2 linked regions of the Alligator mississippiensis genome follow. The protein of the gene in region 1 binds, or shares a complex with, the protein of each later gene. Links are inferred from orthologs where the notes say so. Each region holds a gene or a part of one and is shown on either strand. Other genes may lie near its edges.

The links.
Region 2: the proteins of DISP1 (region 1) and SHH are in contact, whole or in part, in a cryo-EM structure (PDB 7E2I), measured with the Homo sapiens proteins. The link is inferred for Alligator mississippiensis from reciprocal best matches to the Homo sapiens genes DISP1 and SHH. Residues at the interface, in NP_001356523.1 of Homo sapiens: Lys242, Thr244, Gly245, Tyr246, Lys247, Ala248, Glu260, His265, Arg299, Phe336, Gly337, Asp338, Leu339, Cys340, Gln341, Arg342, Thr343, Glu459, Arg899, His904, Asp906; in NP_000184.1 of Homo sapiens: Pro49, Asn50, Val51, Thr55, Leu56, Gly57, Ala58, Arg68, Glu71, Phe73, Lys74, Leu76, Thr77, Pro78, Tyr80, Pro82, Arg96, Leu97, Gln100, Lys186.

Annotation. Positions count from the first base shown.
Region 1 is NC_081824.1:182,113,776-182,122,378, forward strand, and holds the start of DISP1 (protein dispatched homolog 1), read right to left. Parts: upstream 3,781-8,603; 5' UTR 3,766-3,780; coding exon 3,743-3,765; intron 1-3,742. UniProt on the Homo sapiens protein: Functions in hedgehog (Hh) signaling. Regulates the release and extracellular accumulation of cholesterol-modified hedgehog proteins and is hence required for effective production of the Hh signal. Synergizes with SCUBE2 to cause an increase in SHH secretion.
Region 2 is NC_081828.1:203,989,985-203,998,639, forward strand, and holds the start of SHH (sonic hedgehog protein), read left to right. Parts: upstream 1-4,690; 5' UTR 4,691-4,972; coding exon 4,973-5,281; intron 5,282-8,655.

The sequences.
Region 1 (8,603 bases):
TATTTCAGGTCACCTATCTGCCTACAGTTGTGGAAATGGACATTCCATGAATAGTGTCAATAATTGGAATGGGTCATACATCCATGACTCAACACCAGATGAAAGAGGGGCCACAAACAGCAGCAAGCAGCATGAAAAGCCAGAACTGTTGGTTTACTGCAGTGGTCTCCAACCTTTTTAAGCATGAGATCACCTTTGGCGTTAAAAAGCTACCCAAGATCTACTGTGTGCCGTTGCCACTCTCCCGCCCCTTCCCCGCCCAGCAGGTAAGTCTAGGGGGAGGGAAGGTGGGGAGATCAAGGCAGAGGGAGAAAAAATTATTTGGGGGCATACTTCCCCAGTAGGTAAGTCCCACCGGGCCAATGCCCCACTCAACTTACCCCTCCTCCTGCCTCTGTGGCACGGTCCCTCACTGCAGGGGCTCGATCTAGCCCCCATTCCCTCCCTCCCCCACGGATTGACCTGCTGGCCTGGGGTGCGCACATGCATGCATGCTTGCGGGCGCTTAGCCCCCCACCCCAGTCTTGGATCAACTCCAAGAGGCTCTGAGATCTACCACAAGAGGCTCCAAGTTCTACCGGTGGATCGAAATCCACTGGTTGGTGACCACTGATTTACTGTGTTAGTGAGCTAAAAACATTTCTGCACAGGAGCTTCAGAAGGATAGACACGTTTTCCCATAATTGGCTGTAAAATACTGTATTTTTTCACATACTGCACACACCCAAATAAGCAGTCGGAAACCACTGCCAATATGAAATCAGCAGAGAAAAGTTAACACTGGCTTCTATCCCTGCTTGCTGAGAGACCATTAGCAGCCATTTCACAGCACCATGCTTCTATTCAGGCAAAGGAAATCCACTTCCCCACTTATAAGACATATAACCCAGTTTTGGAGAGCTGATTTTTGAGGGAAAGGTATGTGTGGTATTTAAATTAATGTGGTGAACTGTAGAGTGCCACAGCTTAAAACAACACTAAAAACCAATAAATATTCCCCCAGAAATCTTATCCATATTCCTATAACATGACTGTCAATGCACATAAATTAGCATGCTTTGAGCATGACAGGGGTTGTCAACAAGGGGCATGCGTACCCCTGGGGGTACTTGAAAAGGCTCTAGGGGGTATGCATAGGCGGGTAGGGACAGAGCGCCGCCACGTACTATTCTGCACTACCATGCAGGTGTCACCCACCCAGCCAGATGTTGGGGGGCAGGGGAAGTTTGCACACAGCAGCTGATCCAAAAAAGTTGAAAACCCCTGGCTTATTAGAATAGGGCTGAGTATAGACATTCAAAAATCCTGAGCATGAATTGATTCAGTCTTTGCAGGTTAGTCTAAGCTACATAGATTAAACCAAGAAACAAGTGAACAGACATTCACTTTTGATTCCAGAAATGCAGCCACATGCCTGCAGTGGCTCAGGCTAGAAGCCAGGGGGGCACTACAGCAAGTCCTCCCTTCCCTTCTGCAGTGTCCAGAAGGCTGGAGGGAAGCTGAGCTGAGGTGGGAGGGCTTGGCCAGGCCCCAGCAGGTGCTGAGTATGATTAGGGAGGGGTTTAAACTCCCAACCATGGAGTGCCTGGAGGGAGAAGCGGGGAGCAGCAGGCTTTTTTGGTGGGAGGAGGGGGTGTGGAGCATTGCTAGACCCTGCCCCTGGCTGGCACCAAAGGGTTGAGCAGCAAGAGCCTGACCCCAGCCCCGGGCCTGACACGAAGTGGGGCAAGGAGGGGGGAAATCACAGAGAAGCATGGCTGGCAGGAACCTCCAGAGGTCCTCTAGTGTCTAGTCCAGTCCCTGTCTGAGCCCTGACCAGACCCTCCTATATAAGCACAATCTAAAGAGTGGAAGGTTTTCTTGCAGCACTTACAACCGAAAACACCCACCAGAAGGGCTCTTAACTGCTGGGGAAAAAAGCCACCAAAGGCTTCCTGTGACTGGTGCCCTCCTCACCCCACCCCACCCCACCCCACAGTGGGGCCCAGTACTGTGCTCCTCCAGCCTGAGTCCCAAGGCAGTGCCACATAGAGCCCCCCTCACCCCGCAGCCCTGCAGAGCAGGAGAAGGAGAGCGAGAGCCCTGCCTGCCTGCTGCAGTGGCTCCATGACATCCCAGGCTGGCCTGGGCGCAGGGCGCGGGGACCTGGGAGCAATCTGGGCACACAGCTTCCATGGCCCCAGCCCAAGCTGCAGCCAGATAAGAAGGTCCCTGCCCCTGTGGCATGGCTCAGCCTGGCCCCGCCATCCACCCACCTTGTCTGGGGCTGAGACTGGAACTGTGGGGCTGAGCTGGGCCAGCCTGCAGGCATTGCTGAGGGTGGGCATGGAGGGGCTGGGCCCAGCTGGCTGCAGCTTGGGCTGGGGCTGTGGGAGCTGTGCACCTGGATTAATCCTGGTGCCCCATGCCCAGGCTGGACTGGGTTGTCATGGAGCTGCTGCAGCGGGCAGGGCTCTCCTCTTCTTCCTCCTCCCCCCCCCCACCACAGGGCTGGGGAGGAGGGGGGGGCCTCTATGTGTGGCACTGCCTAGGGCTCAGGACCGGAGGGGCACAATACTAGGTCCCACTGTGGGGCAAAAGGGAAAGACTGGCTACAGGACGCTCTCAGTGGCTTTTCTCCCCAGCAGTACAGAGTGCTCCCCCAGTGGGTGTTCTCAGTTGTGGGCTCTGCGAGCAAACCCTCTGCTCTTTAGACTGTGCTTGTATGGGAGGGTCTGGCCAGGGCTCAGGCAGGGGCTAGACCAGACACTAGAGGACCTCTGGAGGTCCCTGCCAGCCTCACTTCTCTGGGATTCCTCCCCCCTTCATCTCAGGCCTGGGGCCGGGGTCTGGCTATGCCCCCACTCTCACTGCTTGAGCCTGGGGGTGAGGGGGCAGAGGGAGAGCCAGGCAAACCCCAGCTGGGATCCCACACTGGTGGAAGATGGGAAGGAGGGAGAATTAAACCCCCACTTTCCCCTCAGGCCACACTCCCCACTCCTGCCAAAGGGGGTACTCCAGAGCAGTGTTTCCCACCCTCACCCCCTTCTCAACCACCTGGAGCAGTGATAATGCTCTGACTAGGGAGGAGATGGGTGGAGCCAACCCTGCTCCACTGGTGCAGGCAGCACAGCCCAGGGCTGCAGAACATCCTGGGACGCTGGGGGAATGGGATTTAATTTCAACCAGGAAGAGGTCTGGGACAGAAGTTCTGTAAACCAGTTTGACCTAAATCAGTTAAGTTTGCAGTTTTGGCCATTTTGAAAGTGATTTATGTGCACTGAATGTCTGTTCTGTTACAGGTTTAAACTGGTTTCTGATCACTTAAACCAGTGTGTGTGTAACTTCTGTTCCTAGCCTAGAAGACTGCACCCAAGTTTTTCTACCTCAGAGTCCCATATCATGAAAATTCTGTAGTGACAACTGCTAAAACCAAGTCTATAACGTCCAGTTAATCTAAATGGTTAGCTTAGCTTCAGTTCAAGCATCTTCACCATACCTACCTTTGTAGCTGTGTCCCTACTGTGTCTGTGCTTGTTGAAAGTTTGAGGCATGTTCCATGGTTCTTTTTTCTGAGACACACATTATTTTCCAGTCAATGGTGTCTGTTGCATGGGAATTGGTCTGCCATTGCAAAGTGTCAGGTTCCAAGTGGAGCCTGAGTTTTCCCTCAGCTCCCAGTTGGGTAAGCTGAGGATGGTAGGAGAGCATTAAAGTTAATATCTGGGTATAAGCCAAGGTTAACTGTGCAGCATAGACTGACCTGAGTGAACCACAGCCATTCATCCTTCCACCTGAAGAATGGATGATGTTCTCCTGCAGAATACTAAAGAAAGGGATGTGCACGGTAGATTATATCAGGCTTCGAGACAATAACTTCTGGGAAATAAAAAGATCAAGAAAGATAACTACCATGGACTCTCTGAATAAAGTTACACAGTAACTACATGTGCTATAAGAGTTCAGGAGAGGTTCAACAGTGGACCCACTCACTTTAAATATAGTCTCATTTGAAGAGACAGCTACTTATAAAAGGACCAAAACTTTTCTTAAGTAATTACTTTTGGTTTAGTAATTAAGAAAAATTAATTAACTGGAAAAGAAAGGAATTAACTGCATCAATCAGGCCACATATGTAATTAAATCTTGTCACATATCTAACCTTGGTCATTAAAATCAATGATATTTTGGCACAAAGAAAAGTTTATACTTGAGCTTCCTCTATGCCATGATCCATCTAATTCAACAGCTCTTCCTTGCTTTCTGGTGGATACATTGCCAATGAGATTAAATATACAATTCATATATTATCAGGAAGTTGTCACTTAAGATGTAGGTTTTTATAAATCTTTACTAAATAGAATATTAAAATCAATGTATTTGGGATTTTTTCTTAATTTCAGATGAACATCTACTTAGATTTATTCATTGTTCTGCAGGAACTGCAACAAGAAAACTGGAGCAAGTCTAGGCCCTGAGAACCAGAAAATGAAAATGGTTACTTTTTTACTACTTCTATTCTGCTTTGTTTGGACTTTGAAAAGGAAAAGGAAAAATTGGCAAACAAAAGAGAAGTTATCAAGAATGTTTACAATGCTGCTGGCACAGGTAAGGATTTTTTTTTCCATGTGCATTTTTAGCCTTAAAATTCTTTTTACCTGAACACATGGGTTAAGACCTGGTAAAATATCAGAAAACTAATTTAAATTATTCACTGCCAGCTGAAGAGTCCAGAAAATAACTGGGGTTTAGCAAAGGGTACGAAGCATTCCTCTCCAATCCACAAGTTTATGTCCAGCAGAGGTTAGCAAGGGCCAAAATTGATTAACCAGTATTTTGGTAGCATATGCAAAATGGCAAAGTGAGTCTCTGATTTCATTTCACAGTTGTCAGACCCCACAAGGAGTCAAGTAATTCTTGAGCCATATCAAGCTTCTCTCTCAATGAAGATGAAATACAAATCTCACCACTAATACAGATACTAACCTCACTGAAGGTAGTAAGATTTTTTTAGAGCAAACCCATCCCTCCTAAGCAAAAAACTCTCTTCTTAAAAGAAAGTCTGAAAAATTAAATAAGCCCTACATGTCCTGCAATGTGCAATGTATTCTGAAGTCTTAAATGAGGGGCTTATATACCGTAGTTGGAAGTGGAATAAGCTAATTTTAGTGCCAAGGACACTGTACTGAACTTATTTTGCATTAAGCATCTGTGTACAGTTTTGCAGACTGTTAACTGCTGTGCTGATCACCTTCCACATGAAAATAAAATTCTCCAGCCATCCCCCAAAATGTAACCAAACTTCTTATCTGAAACAATAGAAAGTCAGGTGAGTAAGTATTTATAGCAATATGGACTTAGTGGCAGATCTGTATACTTTAAAATTGATTTACAACAGAACAGTGCACATTCTTCACTTAGGGTGATAAATAATTTACCAGTAAACATTTTTGCCTATTAGCCAAAACCACATCTTTTTGTCCAGAACATTTTTACCGTGCTCTTTCTGCACAACAGATTTAGAAATAAAGTTTTCTATTACAAGTGTGCCAGAAAATCCTATTGTTATATGCTGTCTGAAATGATAGGATTTGGATTTCTTTGGATTTCAAAGGTTCAGAAGAAAATTAGAAGCAGTAGCAGTACCTGGATTAATAAGGACAGACAAAAGCACAGCCGGCAACTATTAGCTTCGTCTGGCCCGAAAAAGAGTCTCAGCATAGACATTTCTAGCTGGAGCTTTTATTTGTTGGGAATTTCAATGAGACAATTAAATACAGGCCCACTACAAAGTAGAACATATCTGTATTACTCATTATATTCTGAAGGAAAAAAGATCCAAATATTCCCTGATAAGGCTGTTTTTAAATTTAAGTCTCTCATCCAAGGCACTTACACCCCAATTTAAAATGAAAATTGAAAGATTTGGATACTACATGGGCAAAGCAAGAAATTATATTTTGGCTAGATAGCAGGTAGCAGTTGCCCTTTTTACTGGCCACAGTATGCTTCAAACCTCTGGAGTCAGAAAACAGTTCAAGTACTACCACTATCTTGGAGTATCTGGGCATATAATCAGAGAGCAGATCTTCCCTTTAAATCAGGGGTGCTCAACCTCTGCCCATGGAGCTAGGATATCGTGCCCGCAGGACCTCACAGGTTGGGAAATTTGGCAGTAGGGAAGCACTGACAATTCATACTGCCATGCACCTCTGCTGCAAAATTCCCAAACCAAGCCCTATGCAGTGGATTGGAGCCGGGTCATGCCCCCTCCTGCCCTGTGGGGCCAGGCCAAGCTCCCTCCCCTGCCACCGCAGGGCCGTGGCAGTCCCCCCTCCCCCCGCAATGCAACTGCCCCCTCTGTGTGGCCGGATGCGGTCCCACCACGCCAGCCCCAGGTGCCAGATTGGGACCACCAGATGGATCCGGCCCACAGCTGGACTGGGCGCTGCCCATTAAACCCACCAGGTAAAGAGGTTGAGCTCCACTGGTTTAGATGCCCTTGTGAGACAGAACCCTAGCTGGAACCCTTCAGACTTGCCTGTAGCTTAAATATGAAGCCTCCCAGAACTCCCCACCACAGATGTGAGCGCCTTTTTACTTTATAGCTTTAATTCCTCAGAAGCATGCAACAGATGCATGTACACATCAGGATTGCTAACTGTCAATAAAAAAAAAAAATCAGTCTGAAAGTGGGTGCCAGTGAAGTCCATAAAAAAGCGTTAGCCAGCAGTAAAAACACTAAGCAGCTGGAAACTGACTGAAGTTCTGACAGCTGGATCAGAGCAGTGCCACCTGGTGTTCAAGGAGAAGCACAACACCCTGCAGGGACTGCTCTCTTAGCAATATGCTGCAGCTGCTTCCCAGGCTGCCTGTAATGCTGCTGCATTGCAGATACGCTTCTTTAGGCATCTGTGCCAGAACAAGGGAGCAGGGCTGGCAGGTATAAGGCTGGGTGGTAGGGGGGCAGCATGATGCAGGGTGCAGTTGGGGTTATCAGGGTGTGGGGTGAGCAGGGGACCTCTGGCAAGGGGTGAGGGAAGCACAGTGTAAAAATCACTGCAGTGAAGCAGGACAACTGACCCACAAAGTTTGTTTTTTTTTACTGCAAACTTTTTACAGACCAAACTTCTTTATCAAGGTTGATTTTAAACTGCTAAATCTGAACCCAGCATTCTAACTGAGGCCTGGCAGCAGGACAGGGCCTTGCACAAGAGTTACATTTTGTAAAATATACATCAGTAGAACAGTTTGACTGCCAGTAAAAACCTTGCAGATTGTCAGTTAAAAATGATTTCTTGAGTTGGCAACCTATGCACATGCTTTGCACAGTTTCTAAACATATTATTGCTCTTTACTTAACAGCAAAAAAAGACCCAGATCTAAGAAAGAAAAATAAACCCTGACAGCATTTTTTGTCTTAGCTTCCTCATCATTCAGGAGCGTTTTTGGTCTAGGGTCAAGTTCTTTGGGGTGGACTACAACCTTTCTGTATAGCTCAAGATATATTCCTAAACTACAGAATCTTTCTAGCCCAGCTTGCCTTTCTAATTGGTCCTACAGGCTTCCTTTGCTGTAAAAGCCTGTCCATGCATAAGATTTCCTGTTTCTTGCCCCAAGCCTCCTGTATTACTTTTCATATATCCCCTTACCATCTAACTGACTACTTCATTCTGTTTGCTCATTTTTCAATCTTAAAACTCTAGCTCCCTGCAAACAAACAAAATTAACTTTTTTTTCTGGGTAGGAACCACATTTGTTCCACCTGCTCACACTTCAATACTGAGCTGTTTTGACTTAAGTAAACCACCATTTAGATTTATCAAATGACTGTCTCCTGGTATGGGAATGACACATTAGAAGCCTCATCAGCAAGGTGGGATAAGCATTCACAAGGACACTCCAAATATACAACTATTTCATAACTCCATAATATTATCGACCAGAATTCATAAGTCATACATGGTTCCCCAATATTCAAAACAGTAAAAAGAACCTTTATATCAGCAATATTGTGCTAAATGTTCCTGAGGGGTAGGTAAGACATTCAGTTGATTTTCTGATTTAAAAATCCTATAATTTGGCTAAAAATAATAAGTAAGCACAAAAGAATATTTGTTTTTTCAACAAAGTAAAAAGTCTTCTTTAAATTTGTTATTCTAGTTTTAAATTAAAATTTAGAATTTATTAAGGACCTTTAAAAGTCACAGTTATTCTAAACAGTAATGTCTTTAAGCAACACAGGTAGGCATGAATGCCCAAACATCTTCACTGGTCAGGGTAACCCAGTAGGTTCAAGGGTCTGCTGTTTTGGTTGTGGAGCCACATGTGTAATTTTTAATACACAATGCTAAGGTAACATTAGGCAGCTGTGCTTTGATTGGCCAGTGCTGCAAAGTAAAAAGCAACTAATGCAGATAAGATGACAGGTGGCCCCTTATAACAAAGTTGCTGGAATTAACTTTAATTTGGAAATCTTGACATTATCGACAATTGGGTTTTTTTGGCCGATGTAGCTGATAATGCCATGTGCATGTGCGCAGTCGCAGCATGCTTGTGGCCAGGAATGCAGACTGGCAGCTTGGAGACCAGAATCCGGCCAGTAAGTCTGTGGAGGGAAGGAG
Region 2 (8,655 bases), on another chromosome or scaffold:
TAAAACCTGTACAAATATGCCACTGCACAGTGATATTAGGCTACTGCATAGATAACATCTGTAAAAACTTGTGCGCTGGTGCTACTGCACAGTAGCACCAGTTACTGTGCATTGATTTAGTACTTGGTTATCCAAATACAAAACTTAATGAGTGGGAACTAAGGTGGATTAATGAACATGTAAACGCACCCACTGATTGTTTCTTCCTGAAGTAGGAATAACTTAAGTCTATGGACCACTGCCAAGTCAGGGACACAAGTTTAAACATATCACAAACCAAGACTCAACTGCCCATATCTCTATGGCAATACCTGGCAGTATCCATTGTGCAGCTCCTCTCTCCGCTCTCCGAAGGAGTTGACTAGGATGGACAAATTCTGACCCAAGTTTTCTCTTCCAGGTATGAGTTTTCTGGCAAGAGTCTGTGCAAAAGACTTGCTCAGATTTGGCCTTATAATTGTGCCATGTAGAGCATTACATGCTATTCTCTCTTAAACAGTCTTAATCAACCATAACAATGGCTTTATGGATACCATTAAGAGAGACAAACTTTACTGGCATTGGTGAAAAATTCCTGGAAAAAATGATTGCCTGACATCTTAAAGAGTAAGAGGAGAAAAAACCGAGCAAGGTTTAAAATAACAGGTCTACCTGATTCTCTTTTCACTTCTATGTGTTTTTACACCGGTGTAACTCTATTGACTTCACTGGAGTTACTCCTGACTTGCACCTCAGTAAATAAAGAATTAGGCCCAGTATTTCTTGATAAACATCACAGATGCAAAGAGGTTACAAGGAAGGAAGCTTTAACACTGCAAAGTGATAATTGATTTCAAAAGTCATATATTAAAGGTGAGTATAAAGGGTGGCAGTTCAGAAAGTAATTAAGGCCCAGTTAAAATCTACACAAACATTGCATCTGATCTACTCTTTCCTGGAGGCATTTACTTCAGTATCTATTCTTTCCCGAAGGAATTTTTTCTTCAGTCAAAACCAGATTTCAGCTGGACAAGGAACATTGGAAAGCTTAAAATAAGCCACTAATAAAATCGCTAAAACGTTTAAAAGCTTCCCTACCCTTGAATAATGCACACTAGCACTCTGGATATTTGAAAAGGATAAAAATAGCCAAGATCTCAAATAAGTCCTATTCCCGAATCACCATGTGAAATGATGAAGGCAAATTATAGTTATTTATATCGCGTGTGCCAACACAGACACCTAAGCCGTAACGGTGTTTATAGGGCAATATACTACACATACATGCAAACGTGTGTGCGTGTGTGTAACGGCATATATGCATATGTATACTTATACACACCTGCGCCAAAATCCACTGAAGTCAACCTGAAGCCTGATTTTCAGTGGTCCTGTAATGCCAGTTTAATGGGCGTACCCCTCCCTCTGCATGTCAGGGTCAGGATGGCCACCTGGATGTGGGTCCATGCCTGTGTGTCTTTGCTCAGCTCCTCTCCAGTGTGTCACACTGACACACAACCCCGGGGGAGCCAGGCAGCGGCAGGGAAGGCCAGGCCTGCCGCAGGCCCAGATCTCCGCAGCGGTGGGTTACAGAAAGGCTGGAGCTGCCCAAGGGCAGTGACAGCTGCAGGACAAATCCTCCCTCCGCCGAAGACCCTGGGAGCTGTGCCCGTGCCTGGGGAGCTCGGGGCGGTCCGGGGCAGGGGCAGGGGGCGCAGCCGGGGCCCCGGGCAGAGGAGCGGCCGCTGCGCCCGCGCGGGAGCCGCAGTGCGGGGCGGAGCCGGCGCCCGCCCGCCGCGGGGAGGGACGTGCCGGGGAGCGGTGCTGGGGCCGCAGCCTCCTCCCGGGGCGCCGGGCTCCGCGCAAGCAAAGCAGCCGAGCCAGCGACCGCGGCGCCGGGGTCCCGCACGCAGGGAGTCCCCAGGGCCTGGGGCACGGGCGGGCACAGGCCCCGGGCAGGGAGGGGCAGGGCTCCCGCGGGGGCCGCGGCTCCGTGACCTTCGAGCCGGGGGCAGGGGCAGGCGCAGGGCGCTGTCACGCGGGGCCGAGAGGAGAAGCCCAGAGAGCTTCAGGGTTTCGGAGACGACTGGACGCAACATTGATTTTTTTTTTTCTTCTTGTAAGCCAGGAGGGAGCCACGAATCCCTCTGCAGAGAGCAGCAGGGCGAGCCGGGGATGCTGCTGCTGCTGGTGGTGGTGGTGGTGGTGAAACGCCACGTGCGAGGGGCACCCGCAGCCCCGCGCGCCCGGGCACGCAGCGGCCCGGCAGGCCGGGCGGGGGCACGCACGTGTGCCCGGCGCTTGAAGGCCGGCGTCTGTCCAGGAGCGGTGGTGGGAAGGGGGCAGGACACCCCACAGCGGTCCCAGCGGGGGGGCAGGCAGCACTTCTCACCGGGGCATCAGGGCTGAAGTGAGGGGAGCCTGTCCCCGCCGCCCCCACGGAAATGCCCCCGGTGTGCCCCGGCCAGCGCTGCCCTGGCTCCTCCGAGTGCCGCTGGGAGCCCTGCACTGGCTGAAACTGACCAGACCCACCCCGAAAACACAGCTCTGCTTTCTTTCACGTCTAATTTGATCGCAGGCTGATTTTAAGCTTCCCATCGTTACAACTTTTCTTGATTTCTCTCTCCCCCCCCCCCACCTCCCCCTGCATTTATTACTCGCATTTAATTAATTCCTTCTTTGCGTTTCCTTCCCTGTTAATCTTTGGGTGACTGCTTTGTACATATGGCAATCTGATAATGAGGGAGTTTGTCCTTGTTCTCTAGACTTCTTCATGGCAATGTCCACGCGCTCACTAACTGGGGTATTGATCATCTTCCCTTTGGGGGTGGGGCAGGAGGGGTAATAAAAGATTTGCAAGATCCCCCGCCATTTGAAATAGGTTGTTTTTTTATACCCTGGCACTATTTAATCAACTGTTACATCAACTCATGCTGTTTAAGGCAACCACATCAAAAGAGCATACACTCTTTTGTATAAATTATATATTCCTTGAACCTGTCTTCTCACACGCACACACAAAGAGAGGACTTAGTTTTTAGGAAAAGATGGTGCCAAGAAGCTCTTTGGCCCTGATATCACTTGTTTCTTAAACTCACTCAGCGCTCGGGAAGGAAATCTCGAACTTTTCAGCTCCTTCGCAGCTTCTAAGTTTGGAGTTGGGCAAAGAAAATCACTGAAATCTTAAAAACAGCAGCAAGGCAAGAAGTCGACTTCACCGACAGTCGAAGGCGGGCAGACAATTCTGGATCAAGTTCATTCGGCTTCTTTCTTTGTAAAGTTTGCCTAAAAGGAAAAAGCATCCCAGCTAGGTCCCTGCCACTCCGCGTGTCCTGCCACTGCCACCCTGCTCCCTTACACAACCCTGTTTACTACTTCAACACTGTTTTTTAAAATCCACGACTTCTTTTTAAAAGTCCAGTAGTTACTTAACAGTTGTGGAAAACTCTTCCATTGCTGCTTGTCCCACAAAGTTTGTCTTGTTGAATAAAGAGGACTCCCCCGCACCTTTTCGGACAAGGGGAACTCTTGAATTACGCCAACAAGCCGTCTAGGTTTTTAAAGAAGTCTTTTAAAAAAATTCTTCAAAGTTTCTAAATTCTTGGATAAATTGTATTTTCTTTGGAGCAAAAGCATCTGAGCTTTTTACAGGAGCAGGAGTGTTTGTTCTTATGGGACTCTGCTTTTCTGTCTAACCTGCTCTATCAGCCCCATCTCTCTGCAATTTTGCTCGTCTTTCAACACCTTTGTCTGATTAGTAGCTTTTGGAGATGGGGATAAAGACATCACTTGCCACGCTGCATGAGATAACAATTAATTTAACATTAAACTTATCCCCTTTCCATTCACTTGGCTCGGATCGATCTCTGGTAATTGTGTTTGCGGATGCTTTCAACACCTTGCTTTTCTTCAAAACTTAATGACACCCCACAAGGAGGTATAAGGGGCTGAAATGCACTTTTCCCAGCTAGACCAAAGAAACAAAGACCGGAGCCCCAACTTGCTCGGGACACCAAACCTAGGCTGCAGTTTTGAACCAGGTCGCTGCTGCTTTCTTCCTTCACGTCCAATATTTTCTGAAGACTACTGTAATAAAGTGCCCCTCACGAGCAGTTGTGTCCTGTAAAAGTCACACACCAGGAACTTTATAAAACTGCCAATTTTATATCAAAATGACTTTTCTGCCCCTCTTCTAATCCAGTCACTTAACTGCTGGGAAGACAAGTGTGGTTTAAAAAAAAAAAAAGTTGCATTGCTTTCATGAGAGTGCAGTATTGTAACTCAATGGGGAAAAAAAGACTGATTCCCAGGCACTTAGGTGGGTTCCTTATGAAATGGGCTTGTCATTTTGCCCCTGGAAAAAAAATGTTTTTTTGCAACGTGGTGTGATAGCCAAGGCGTTGTTTTATATTGCTTTAAACTGCCCTTGAAAATTTGACTAGCAGGGAGACAGCCTGATCATCTTCTCTCCCTGTTTCACGGGGGCATTTGTTACTGTTGCTGACATATGTACCATTCTGCCAAGAAAGTTAAAAAAAACCCCCAAAAAAACAGCATGTAATTGATGTTATCCCAAGAAAGCGCAGTCTCCACCCCTTTCAGCTCCAAGCCCTTCAGGTAAAAGAAAAAAAAATCTTTCAAGAATTTGTTGCCTTTTTGAGGGTTAATACATCAGAAGACAAGCTGTCTCGCCTTGGCCAATCAGGACTCGGCCCTGGCAGCTATAATATAGAACTAAGGCAGACTCCTCTCACAAGCGTCTCTAGCCTTGCTACCATTAAAATCAGACCCTTTTTGTCTCCCGATTGCTGTCTCACGACCCAACTCCGATGTGTTCCGTTATCAGCGACCTAGAGCCTGCCATTCCAGCACCTGTCTTGCTAGGGATCGGTGGATAGCATACGATTCAGAAAGCAGACAAGGACATAGGAAGAGAGCTATCTAGAGAGACAGCCAGGGATAGCCACAGAAAGCTGGGAAGTAATTGGATTCAATGGACGAAATGCTGCTGTTGACAAGAATTCTCTTGGTGGGCTTCATCTGCGCTCTTTTGGTCTCCTCGGGGCTGCCTTGTGGACCGGGCAGGGGGATTGGAAAAAGGAGACACCCCAAAAAACTGACCCCTTTAGCCTATAAGCAGTATATCCCCAATGTGGCAGAGAAGACCCTAGGGGCCAGTGGAAGATATGAAGGGAAGATCATAAGAAACTCCGAGAGATTTAAAGAACTAACCCCAAATTACAACCCTGACATTATTTTTAAGGATGAAGAGAACACTGGAGCTGACAGACTGATGACTCAGGTAGAGCCACATAGATGCATATATATTTGTTTGTTAACATATCTGAGCAATGATAAATGAAGCATCTGTCTTGGTATTTTTGAAAGACATCCCCTCCCCCAACACTCACCCGGGGAGGTGCCTTCTTAAATGTAAGCCTACATCTTTATAGCCCGATAAGTTTGCAGAGGGAAGCTGCCTATTGCTAGACATGTGTTGGGCTTTGATGTGATACTTGCCCTTAGAACCGGGCCATGGCGTCCCCTGTAACTTGGGTAGAGATTTCTGTTTGCATTTGTCCCCAAGGCTGCACTTTGATCAAACGAATTGCATACGGCTCGGAGGACCCCAAGTGTATGGTGACCGCCAGGCCACTCATTCATTATTACAAATGCAGCCCTGGCTCGGTGCAGCGCCTGGCTTGATTTTGATGCTGTTATTATTTGCCCTTCCTTATTTTTCCTTGCAAGCCCATTCTAAATTTAGCAGCTATGGAAACCTCGCACTCACAAAAGCAGCTGAAGCAGAATCGACCATGCCTCTCCTGTTCCTGCATTATATGGCTTGTATTGCAATCCCATCATTTGCAATTGTGCCCATCAGAGCGTAAATATATTGATATTTCTTTAAGGATGCTCTGGTACTTCCAGAGGGGAGGGACTTGCAACTTATCAGCATTGCATCACTTGTGGGGTTTTTTTTTTTAAAATGAGCTAGCACAAGGTTTACAACTGGGTAAATGTTCCACCTCGGCTGGAATCAGAATGCGGAACCATTTTATGCAAAAAAAAAAAAAAAAATAGCCCTCAGACAGTCCCATGCTGTTGTTCATGGGAAATGGGGGAAGCCAGTGGGTCCATGGGTGCTGGAGTTTGGAAAGTGCAGCTGGCATCTAGACACTGGGAATGGGTTTCCTCCAAATATAGGTCAACAGCGAGGTTTTGCTAGGGGGGGGGTGGATTTTTAAAAAAAAAATGTTTTTGCACTGTTGATATATTTAAGACCCACCTTCGGTGCTGCCATAGCCCTCGCCCTGCAGCAGCGCGCCGGGGTGGGAGGGATGCCCGCAACTTTGCCCTCGCCCCTGGCCCGGTTTCCTGCGGGGGCTGGGGCGAGGGACCGGTCTCCGCCGCGATCTCTCCCGACCACCTTAAATCTCACTGTACCTCTGAGTGTCGACGCGCGCCTCTGCCAGGGAGAAGCGCGAGCCTCAATTAAATATGCAGAGGCCACGGCGCGGAGGGTGTCGTGCCGCGGGTCCCCGGGCCCGCTCCGCACCGGCTTTCATCTCGGCCCCTAATGCGCGGGGGGGGCGGCCCGGGGAGATCCGGCTCGGTCCCCTGTCACAGCCCTGGCTGCAGCGCTGTAAGACAAGGGTAGCTGTGCGGCAAGTCAGGCACGTCTCGCATTTTCAGCTCCACTTACTCCTCTGTTATCGATCGCAACGGCTAGGATTTCAGCTCGTATCCTTTTTAATACGGCTTGGGCAGAGACGTGCGTGTGTGAGTGTGTGTGAGTGTGTGTGTGTGCGCACACGGGCGCGTCATGCCTGCGCATGTGTGTCGAGGTGCACACACACATGTCGGTGCAGGCGGGGGACCCCCGAGGCCGGGCAGACGTGGGGGGCGGCGGGGGCAGCGCCTCGCTCCCCGGCGGCGGGCTGCGGCCGCCCTTCCCTGGGAATACGCAGCTTCCTACACGGCTTGCCACTCTCGCTGCATTAGCTGGCAGCGTTTGAACTTCTGACCTTCTGTCAACTTCCCTCAGCCGAACCAAACGAAAACAAACACTTTTTCCTCCAGTGCCTATCCCGGCTCCTAGCACCCCCGCCGGCGGGGGGCCGCCGCGGAGGTGCCGGGGCTCCCCAGGGCCCGCGGGGGGCTCCCTGGCACTGCGGTCCCACCCCCGGCCTGGCCAAGCCCCGGCTCCCCCTCTCCCAGTCTTGCTCTGCTCAGTGCAAGCCTTTCAGCCATGGCAAGATCTTCCCTGAATGGAATAGTTAAACTTTCCGAGCAGCCGCTGAATGCATTAGCTGCGGGTTAATATTAACTGAGGAGGGGGGCAGCGCAAACAGAGCTCGGCAGGGCAGGTTCTCAACTTCGCAGGTGACAGGAGCAGCCTGCTGAATGCCCCCCTGCCCCTGGCCTCCCCCCCACCCCGGCAGCCATTGGCTGGATCTGGGGCAGAGATAAGGAGGCCAGGTCAGTATGATAAAGCTGGAATTTGTATGAAATAAAATAGCAATCTCGGGTAATACAGGTACACAGCCGGGGCGGGCTGGGAGGAATGCGGAGTTCAGGCCGGCATTTAGGAAGCCCACCAGGCTGTTTGCACTGACAGGTACCTGCTAAGTGTTTCCTTCAAGCCGGGCGTTTGTGCAGAGATTAGGAGCTGGCAGGAGAGGGGCTTGTTGAACAACTTCGCCTCCACACAAAGCGGCGGTCGAGGCTGCCCTGCTGAGCTTCACGGTGGCTGAACAGAATTGGGCTTGATTTGTGGCACACGACCCACTGAATTAATAAAGAGCCTGGGCTTCACGGCTTTTGACTCTGACAATCCCGCTCAGGCGGTGTACAAGGAAGGAGAGCCCTTTACTAGGTCCTGCCTCCCTCTTCATCCGGCCAGGGAGACCTGAGGGGGGGCACGGAGCAGCCCTGCGCCTCTTGCAGATTTGTTTTCTTGGTTATAAAGCGCCGTGGCTCGAGGCTGCTGGGCAGGGAAGGGCTTTCTGCTCGTCCGCGGGCTCAGGCGCTTAATGTTTCACCTTTAGCGGTGGGAGCAGGCACGCCCGGCCGGCGGGCGAGGGGGGCACTGCCAGCCCACTTCCTCATGGCTCCCTGCCCTCCCAGACGGGCACCGCATTGCTGCACAGGGCAAACACGCGGCTCGTCCCATAAAATGTCTAAGTCATAGCACAATAGGCCCCGGAGTCCAAAGGGAACGAACTCATGTTATATGGAGCTACTATAAACGTGTGGCTCGGGTATCTGTTTTATGGCTCTGATACACACGTTGGACTTCCCTGTTGAGCAATCCCTGCACGTCCCTAAAAGCAGTGCGGGAGGAATAATGCAAGGGTGTTTCCCCCCCCTTCTGGGAGCGGTGAAAAGAGCCTTTGTGGTGTGTTGTTTTACCTAGTGGTAACGTGTTGGGAGAGTTGTCCTGGAGAAGGCCAAACATCTCTCTCTACTCACACCCAGCAAAGAGGCAGCCACCTGGTGCACGTGGGCTTCTGCTTTCCTCCTTGATTGCAAGGGAAGCTTTTGACGGCCTCATTCGGGAGATCCCTAGGGGGGCAGCCCGTGTTGTGTCCAGCCCTACCTGGCCAGGCCCCAGGGAAGGAGGGGGGCAGACCTGGTGCAGGCGAGCCATGGGCATCTTCCGAAAGCTTTCTC